Linked DNA regions of Tribolium castaneum. The protein of the gene in region 1 purifies or fractionates together with the protein of each later gene. This does not show direct contact. Links are inferred from orthologs where the notes say so. Each region holds a gene or a part of one and is shown on either strand. Other genes may lie near its edges. The genes, in order: M-phase inducer phosphatase and SkpA.

Evidence for each region.
Region 2: the proteins of M-phase inducer phosphatase (region 1) and SkpA purify together in Homo sapiens (affinity purification with western blotting; 6 studies listed by BioGRID and IntAct, with this or other methods). This does not show direct contact. The link is inferred for Tribolium castaneum from reciprocal best matches to the Homo sapiens genes CDC25A and SKP1.

Annotation. Positions count from the first base shown.
Region 1 is NC_087403.1:1,088,711-1,093,321, reverse strand, and holds M-phase inducer phosphatase, read right to left. Parts: upstream 3,101-4,611; 5' UTR 2,950-3,100; coding exon 2,897-2,949; intron 2,594-2,896; coding exon 1,574-2,593; intron 1,518-1,573; coding exon 1,250-1,517; 3' UTR 613-1,249; downstream 1-612. Other genes in the region: protein D3, read right to left, coding at 1-124, 212-312. UniProt on the Homo sapiens protein: Tyrosine protein phosphatase which functions as a dosage-dependent inducer of mitotic progression. Directly dephosphorylates CDK1 and stimulates its kinase activity. Also dephosphorylates CDK2 in complex with cyclin-E, in vitro.
Region 2 is NC_087402.1:1,039,032-1,041,802, forward strand, and holds SkpA (S-phase kinase-associated protein 1), read right to left. Parts: upstream 1,368-2,771; 5' UTR 1,290-1,367; coding exon 801-1,289; 3' UTR 708-800; downstream 1-707. Other genes in the region: uncharacterized protein LOC103312555, read left to right, coding at 1,652-1,654, 1,886-2,025, 2,074-2,148, 2,196-2,349; mitochondrial ornithine transporter 1, read right to left, coding at 2,456-2,769. UniProt on the Homo sapiens protein: Essential component of the SCF (SKP1-CUL1-F-box protein) ubiquitin ligase complex, which mediates the ubiquitination of proteins involved in cell cycle progression, signal transduction and transcription.

The DNA.
Region 1 (4,611 bases):
CTCTGCTGTGGTCTCGGGAGCCACATCAACAACATCCGGGACTACGCCGTGTTTTTCCATATTTTTTGCTACAGAAGAGAAAAAACGACTAGAATATACCGGTCGTCTAAGAGCAAACATTTTGCTGAAAAAATTTACTTAAGTGGGGTGGGGGTGGAATTTGATTTTCTGGGGCCTCTACACACGACAAGGGTTAATCACAAAAACTCACCTAAGATCTTTCCAGAACACAATCACAAGTTGCAAAAATGACAGAAAAATGCCGGCTGTTGTCGTCATAGGCTGACACCTATTGTTGGAAAATGGAAGCATGCATTACATAATCTATTACGCAATATATTTAGCTACAGCTTGATAGATGTCGCTTCATAAATTTGTTTCTTTAATTCTTTTAATTGGTGGTGATTTCACTAACTGCCACTTAACTGTTTTAAATCTGACGGCCAGTTATGATGTACTTGTGAAAATATTACGGCACTTCAACGGTTAAATTTTTCTAGGAAGGCAAGTCGGATTTTTCCCGCTGATTGGTAGATGGCGCGTTGTAGCTTTCTAGCGGTAAATAACCGATGCAAAATAACGAATTTGTTGTGCAAGGGTAAAGAAAGTTCGTTTTGATGTGGAACAAAAATGTATTATCATAAGTTATAAAAATATTAAAATATTGTACAGATCTATAATATTAAGTATCACTTTAAAAATCTATGATGCAACGGATGGGTAAGCATCAGTCCGTCCAAATAGTGAACAAATCACATTCAAGTAGTATAAAATCCCCAGCCGTTGCATTCGAACACATTTGAATATGCTGAAGGATACAAAAACAATACTGACACTTAGACTATACTAAACTAATAAAATGAACATAAAAAATCTGCAAACAAACACCAGCGCAACAGCAAGGAAGCATAATGTACTGGTAAAGAAATGCAACATCACATCGTTATTGCTGTTCAAATTGCACATAAAAAATAAATTAAAGGGGGACCAGGATGATCCGTCGACTGTCTAAATAACAAAAAGAAAACTTTGGTGGTTTAGCATTGCAAAAGGAAAGATCTCATCTCAACTACTCTGGAGCAAGCTATTTAGGTACTCTCTTATATACAGTTGTAATATACACTAAGAAGACTAAGTCTTCAGGATACATGCTAATATAGCACATTACTTTGTACATATCATTTGGCAAACAAGTCCGCGCACTTGTATTTTGTACTATCTCACAAATTTTGGCACTGGGATTCGATATTTACAGTCCTAGTCTTTTCAAATTGTGACGGCACCCGGACCGTTGACGCGTATCAGCATTCCAGGTTTTGGATTTGAGCCGGAAATGTCGCAACTCATTCTCATATTCCGGGTGCAGCATCTCCGTGTAGGCTATAGGAACGCAGAGGTCGGAATATTCCTCGAAGAACTTCTTATAGCCACCCTCAAGTAGGTAGACTTCGGGGTAGTGCAACGAAGGGTAGACGTCCTGGTTGAGCTGGCGGTCCTGCTCACGCAAATACCGATATCTGGAAGCAAAAACATCATTAGCACGGCGATACAACCCTCCAGAAGCAAAACTTACAAATCTGGACCCCGCTTGCTCGAAAACTCGCAATGGAAAACCAGGATATTGCTCCTTTTGCGCGGCTCCTTGCTCGCAGAGGCGACGTTAGTTAATAGTTCCATGCACTGCTCCTTGGTGTAGACGTTAATGGCGCCGTCAATATGGCCACCCTTGTACTCGTAAGGGTACCGGCAATCGATAACTTTGTAAGAGGCGACGTTTCCGCTAAAGTCACCACGGATTAGTTTGGCCAAAGTGTCAGCAGTGATGCACTTCAAGTCCTGATGACGGCCTTGCGTTAAGGGCAAACAAAACGTCTTGCTGAAGTCACCGATGAGGTCTGGCTCCACGAATGACCTCTGGACCGCAAACTTTATACTCTCCTCCGTCGCAGACACGCATCTCTGAAGCACAGGCCTTGCGACTGGAACAGCGGCTTCCTCATCCTCAATTTTCTGTTTTTTCGAATTTGGGCTTTCGAATCCTTGCGGCGGTTCTGGTCTCTTAAACGGGCGAGATTCTGTTGTTTTGAAGAGGCAAGACCTGACCCTGCTTGGCGGCGTCCTTTCAGTTTGCAAGGACAAAGCCCTTCGAAATAAGGGCCGAATTACTAGATCCCTCGGCGAAGTCGGTGTCTCTTTCCGGTTCTGGAAATTGATCGGTCCAGTGATCAATTTCCCGAAATCCTGCGGCAAGTTGTCCTCCAAGGGCTCAATATCGGAAAAATCCTCGAAAAACTCGTCCTCCATGGACCCGATCGAGGCCAGTTCGAACGACCCCCGAGTCGGGGAAGCATAAGTCGAGAATTTACCCTCATTGTAATTAGCAACGTAACCGGAATCGCGCGAATTGGGGTCGTGGTCCTCAAGGGGGCGCCGAGTTATTATATTGTGGTTGCAGTGATTCGGTGAAGTCCCGGAGCAGATTATTGCCGGAGGACTCGAATTTCCGTAAAACGATAACTCTTCTATTTTGACCGGACTTAACGCTTGCTGAATATTTTCTTTATCCAAACAAGAATCGTCCCCTCGTTTCGATCTGAAACAAAAACGGCCTTGAATTAATCAAACAAAACGAGCAGTTCCGGACCTGTCCCCCCGAAAATGCAAAAACGGCGTTTCCCGCCCGAAACCAGCAAACTGAATTTTGAGTGTCCTTGTCACCTTTATCACCCAAAAAACGCAGGGTCAAAAAAACGCCCAACCGCAGGCCCAAAAAATTACTATCGGGGAAAAACGCGTCAACTGTGCATACGTAATCCACAAAATTATGATAAACTGATAAGTGGTTCGGGGGTTGTTCGCGAAATCGCGAAGGGGCTGAAAACCGCACGGCAATTACCTTGGGGGGCACTGGCAGACATCACAAGAATCCGTGCTTATCGAATCCCACATTGTCGGAAGAAAGCGGTGAAATATCCTTAAAACGTCTTAAAATCTAACACAAGCAACAAGCACTCAAACCAGGACGATACGTCCTCGCACACCACACAAACGCGACTTGGAAGTGAAGGTAGCCTACCTCAGTCTTTATCCTATTACAGCTCGTCCCCACATCGTCGGTGGGGAGTAGGGATAGGGCAAGGGCGCCAAAAGAAAGCAAGGGAGGGGCGCCTGGGAATGAAAATTTTTACCATACACCCTTTCCGCATTTTTGGAAAAAATCCAGTTTCTTTACAAAACTTGCGCCTAATTTGGAACGGGTCTTGGGAAAAAACAGCGTGCGAACCCGCGTGATATATTTGGAATTAATCACGTAATATTTAAATATTAATAGACCGGACAGCGAGAATTCCGAATTAGCCAAATTTATTTTATCCGATTTGTTATTTATTCAGAATTAAATTTATTTCTGTTTGTACATCTCCAATTTTTTGATTTATTCCCCTCTTTCGCATCGAAAAAACGCAAATGTTTATTCATGTGAGGAAGTTCAAAATTCCTAGATAAATGTTCTGCGATTTATTCACTTGATGTTTCGGTACAAATGTGTTATCAGCATTTCAGTTTAATTTTATTTTTTGGTGAAAATAATAGTGGATCAATAAGATAAATAAATTGTGTTAAACTAATAAATTGTCGGTGAAAATAATAAATAAATAAATGGCCAGTACGCAACAGATGCTGATAAATTCAAAAAATGCATTATTTGCATTATTTTGAAATAAGCTAGGCATTTGGCATATTTATAATTAGTGAGTTTTGTTACTGTTTTATTTCACTTTGCTTTATATGGAATAAATAAATGGATTTTTACTGCTCTAAAATTCGATTTTTCTTTTCAAATTTCCGAATCAGAATACTGTTCACTTATGGATTCATGTTTCAGACTTTATTGAAGTCTGGTTAAACATTTGGTTGCCGAGGCTCAGAATCTGATCTGAAAATTGTTATCCTTGAGTGAGCATAGCGAGCTAAATAGTTATGAAGTTGAGTATCTTTCTTCCTTGGCAGCTGTTGAGCGGTCAGTTCTTTTTGCATTTCAGTTTGATATTTATGTATCACATTGAACTATAGCACATGTTGATAAATTTATTTATTTAAAATTGATACAGTTTTGTTTATCCTAATCGAAGGAAATGGGAGCAAATGAAGTCAGCACATGAATAAAATTTTTGGTTGTGGTGTATGACGCCGAGAAATATTTATATTTGAGGCATGTGTGTGATAAGTATAGAATGTGTTGAATTGGCATTTAAGACCGTTCTGAAACCTGAATATAGCGTTATCAGAGTGAGAGTTATACTGTATGCCTCCGATAGGAAGAGATCAGAGGATCATTCGCGTGAGAATAATACGTTCCCTGTAAGTGACATGGGAACTGGCCGAACAATTGGATCATTGTGCGAAATGCGCAGACTGGATACAGGAAAATTTACCTTTATCCCGGCAAATTGCCGACGTTCCCACCTCTACCTGTTTAGGTCATCCCTTCATCTCAAAGTGGCCAGGGAATGGACCAATTTGCATAATTTACACAAAATCTATTCACTTTCAGACTGTCCAAACATAAAAGAATTGCTTCTTCGAAAGTAATTAGTTATCTTATCGTTTCGC
Region 2 (2,771 bases), on another chromosome or scaffold:
TTGCACTTGGAGAATTAAAATAATACAATCATTGTTGTGGAACAAATGCAAGAATGCGGGATTATTAAATTAAAAAACTAGTTATTTGATAAAAAACAGTTTATTCAAAAATCGCTGATGTACACTGACAAACAAACAGAATTGGCAAGAAACCAGGTCAGTGGTTTAGCTCGTAATTCGGGGTCCCTTTGTGACACTGAAGTTACGTGCCCAAAATGACACCTTAACGTCATAATCTCAATTTGCACACTACAAATTGAATTTCCTTAATCCTAACACAATTCCAGTTTAATGAGCCGTGATGATGATTGTGACTGCGACGTTTTGGAAACGAAACAGAAGCTCAAACACATCAAATGCAAAATTATTAAATTAATGAATGAACAACTATCCAAGTCGGAAAATTTCGTGGAGGATGAAATCAAGCGAAATGGGTGTTTTACCCGAGGGTTAGTTGTGGTTAAAAAGCTGCCAATTAATTGCGAGTTGTAGGTGTTGGTGGTCCTTGTGTTCCTCCAGGACGTGGCTGTACTTTTTAGGGTTTTTAACGATGATATTTGTAGCGGTTTTAATGGGGGCGTTTATGGGGGCCCGCATTTGCGGGAACGAGGCGGGGTCTTGCGATGATTATGGCGTATTTTAACACTTGTATACTATATTTTATCCGACACCTATTATAATTGGTTAAGGTGCAAATAAACAACCAGTTGGGTCGAAATGGCGTTTGATTTAAATAATCATATTACAATAAAACAATGAACGCAATTTTGGAAATAATCTTAAATAAAAAAAATACGAGTTTACTTCTCCTCACACCATTCGTTCTCCTTGCGCACTTGCTCCTCCTCGGAGGCTGTGAAGTCGTTCTTGATGTTGAAAGTCTTGCGGATCTCCTCGGGGGCCTTGCCCTTGATCATGTTGGCGACTGTCTTGCAAGTCACATCGAGCAGCCCCTTGATGTCCAGGTAATTCGCCGCCAGGATCAGCTCAAACAAAGTGCCTTGGTCCACTTTGAGAAAATCGGCGTCCCATGACGAAATATCATCCGTGCGTTTCTCCTTGTTCTCGTCGTCTTCGGGCGGTGGAGGATCATCTTTGTGATAAGTGGACCACTGGATAACTTTCTTCAAAATCGCCGAATTGACATTGGGGAGAGGCACCACTTCCTCTTCCTCCTCGTCCATCCCCAGGTCCTCCAGCATGGTCTTGATGGTCACTGAACATTTCGCGATCTCCACGTCCACCTCGAACGTTTCACCGTCGGAGGAACGCAGTTTAATATTCGGCATTTTTCACGGTTTTTCTTCGATGACAGAATATGACAATAGACGGCAATAATGGTGGATGACAGGTGTAACGCGCAAGCGTCCCCACACGGGCGCCAGATTCGAACCAATTGTTATAAACAAATTAATTCAAAACGAGTTATTGCAGCAAATACGCAATGACGCGGCAAAATTTTCATCAAAACACGTAGCGCGTTATTTGCCTCGGATAATGTAATATGGGAAGAGCCGCAATATAAAGCTTAATTGTGCGTTAAAATTGTTGCACTTGGTTTGCGCAAGACCCCGCTCTTGATTTAAAAGAGGTGGCCCAAGAATTTGGGAGCCAGATTGTCCGTCTTCACCGCCTGTCTCCAAGCCAAACAATGGTAAGTCTGTCTGAGTCGTCTTTTTTGATTTTCTCCTTATCACCCTCTTTCTTACACATTATTTTGAAATTTTTGCGATAACACTCTTTATTGCATAAAAACAACTAATTGTAACAATCTGACGCAACAATTGACCGAATCTTTATTACTTGAAAACTTCCAATTCTTATCTAACTTGACTTCTCAAGTGTTTTGGAGCAAAACACAAACAAATTGTTATCTGATTTTTAGGGTTCCACAACAATGAAAAAGTCCATTACGGACCACCGAATCACTTTGTTGTTATTCGTCAGCATTATTTTCCTATCTATTGAAATTACCCACGGGGCTTTGGTCAAAAACCCCAACTTGCTGAAAAAAAATCATTGCAGGTACTAATTACATAATATCAGGTTTATTTAATTAATTAATTATTTAAGGACACACATTTTTTCTCCCGTGTGCCGCGGGCAGCAAAAGCGAGACATTTTAAGCCGTCTCAGTGACGAGTACAGGTAGTCATTAAAACAATTAAAGTGCAAAAGTTTGATTCATTTGTTAGGGTGCCAGCCCTGGATTCCGATTTTTCGGGGATTGACCGGTCCCGCGATTTCCCTACAATCCTTAACAGTCCGAGTCTTTTCGGGGAACTACTGAAAAAAGCCATAGAATCGTCCCCCGAGTTCGATCCCGAAAATAGCAATTATCTGAAGTGAGGAGAATAATAAAAGACAGGCCGGACAGTATTACCCCAGTATTCCTATTTATTTATTTATTGGATAAAAATAAAATATAAAAACTATGTTCGAGTTTTATTTCTAATCAGAAAATTTGGTGGAGGAATCTTTTGGAATACTCGTAAGTTGCAAAAAGAGTGGCAGTGGATGGAATAGTCCGAACTAACGTTGGAGTCAACCCGTTATAAAGCTGTCTGAAGCCTTCCCGCCTCGATATTTGCAAAATCATTGCAACCATATTCATTTTACTATTAGTGACTTGAATCCGACTTTTGGCCACATCGACTGGATAAGTCAACGTCCAGAAAGACATGCCCCCCAAAGCCCCCGCCACCATTGTCTTAAACAAGCCTATATCGTCCTTGGACTCCCCCGGACGCGCTAGCAAAGTCCTAGTCCCT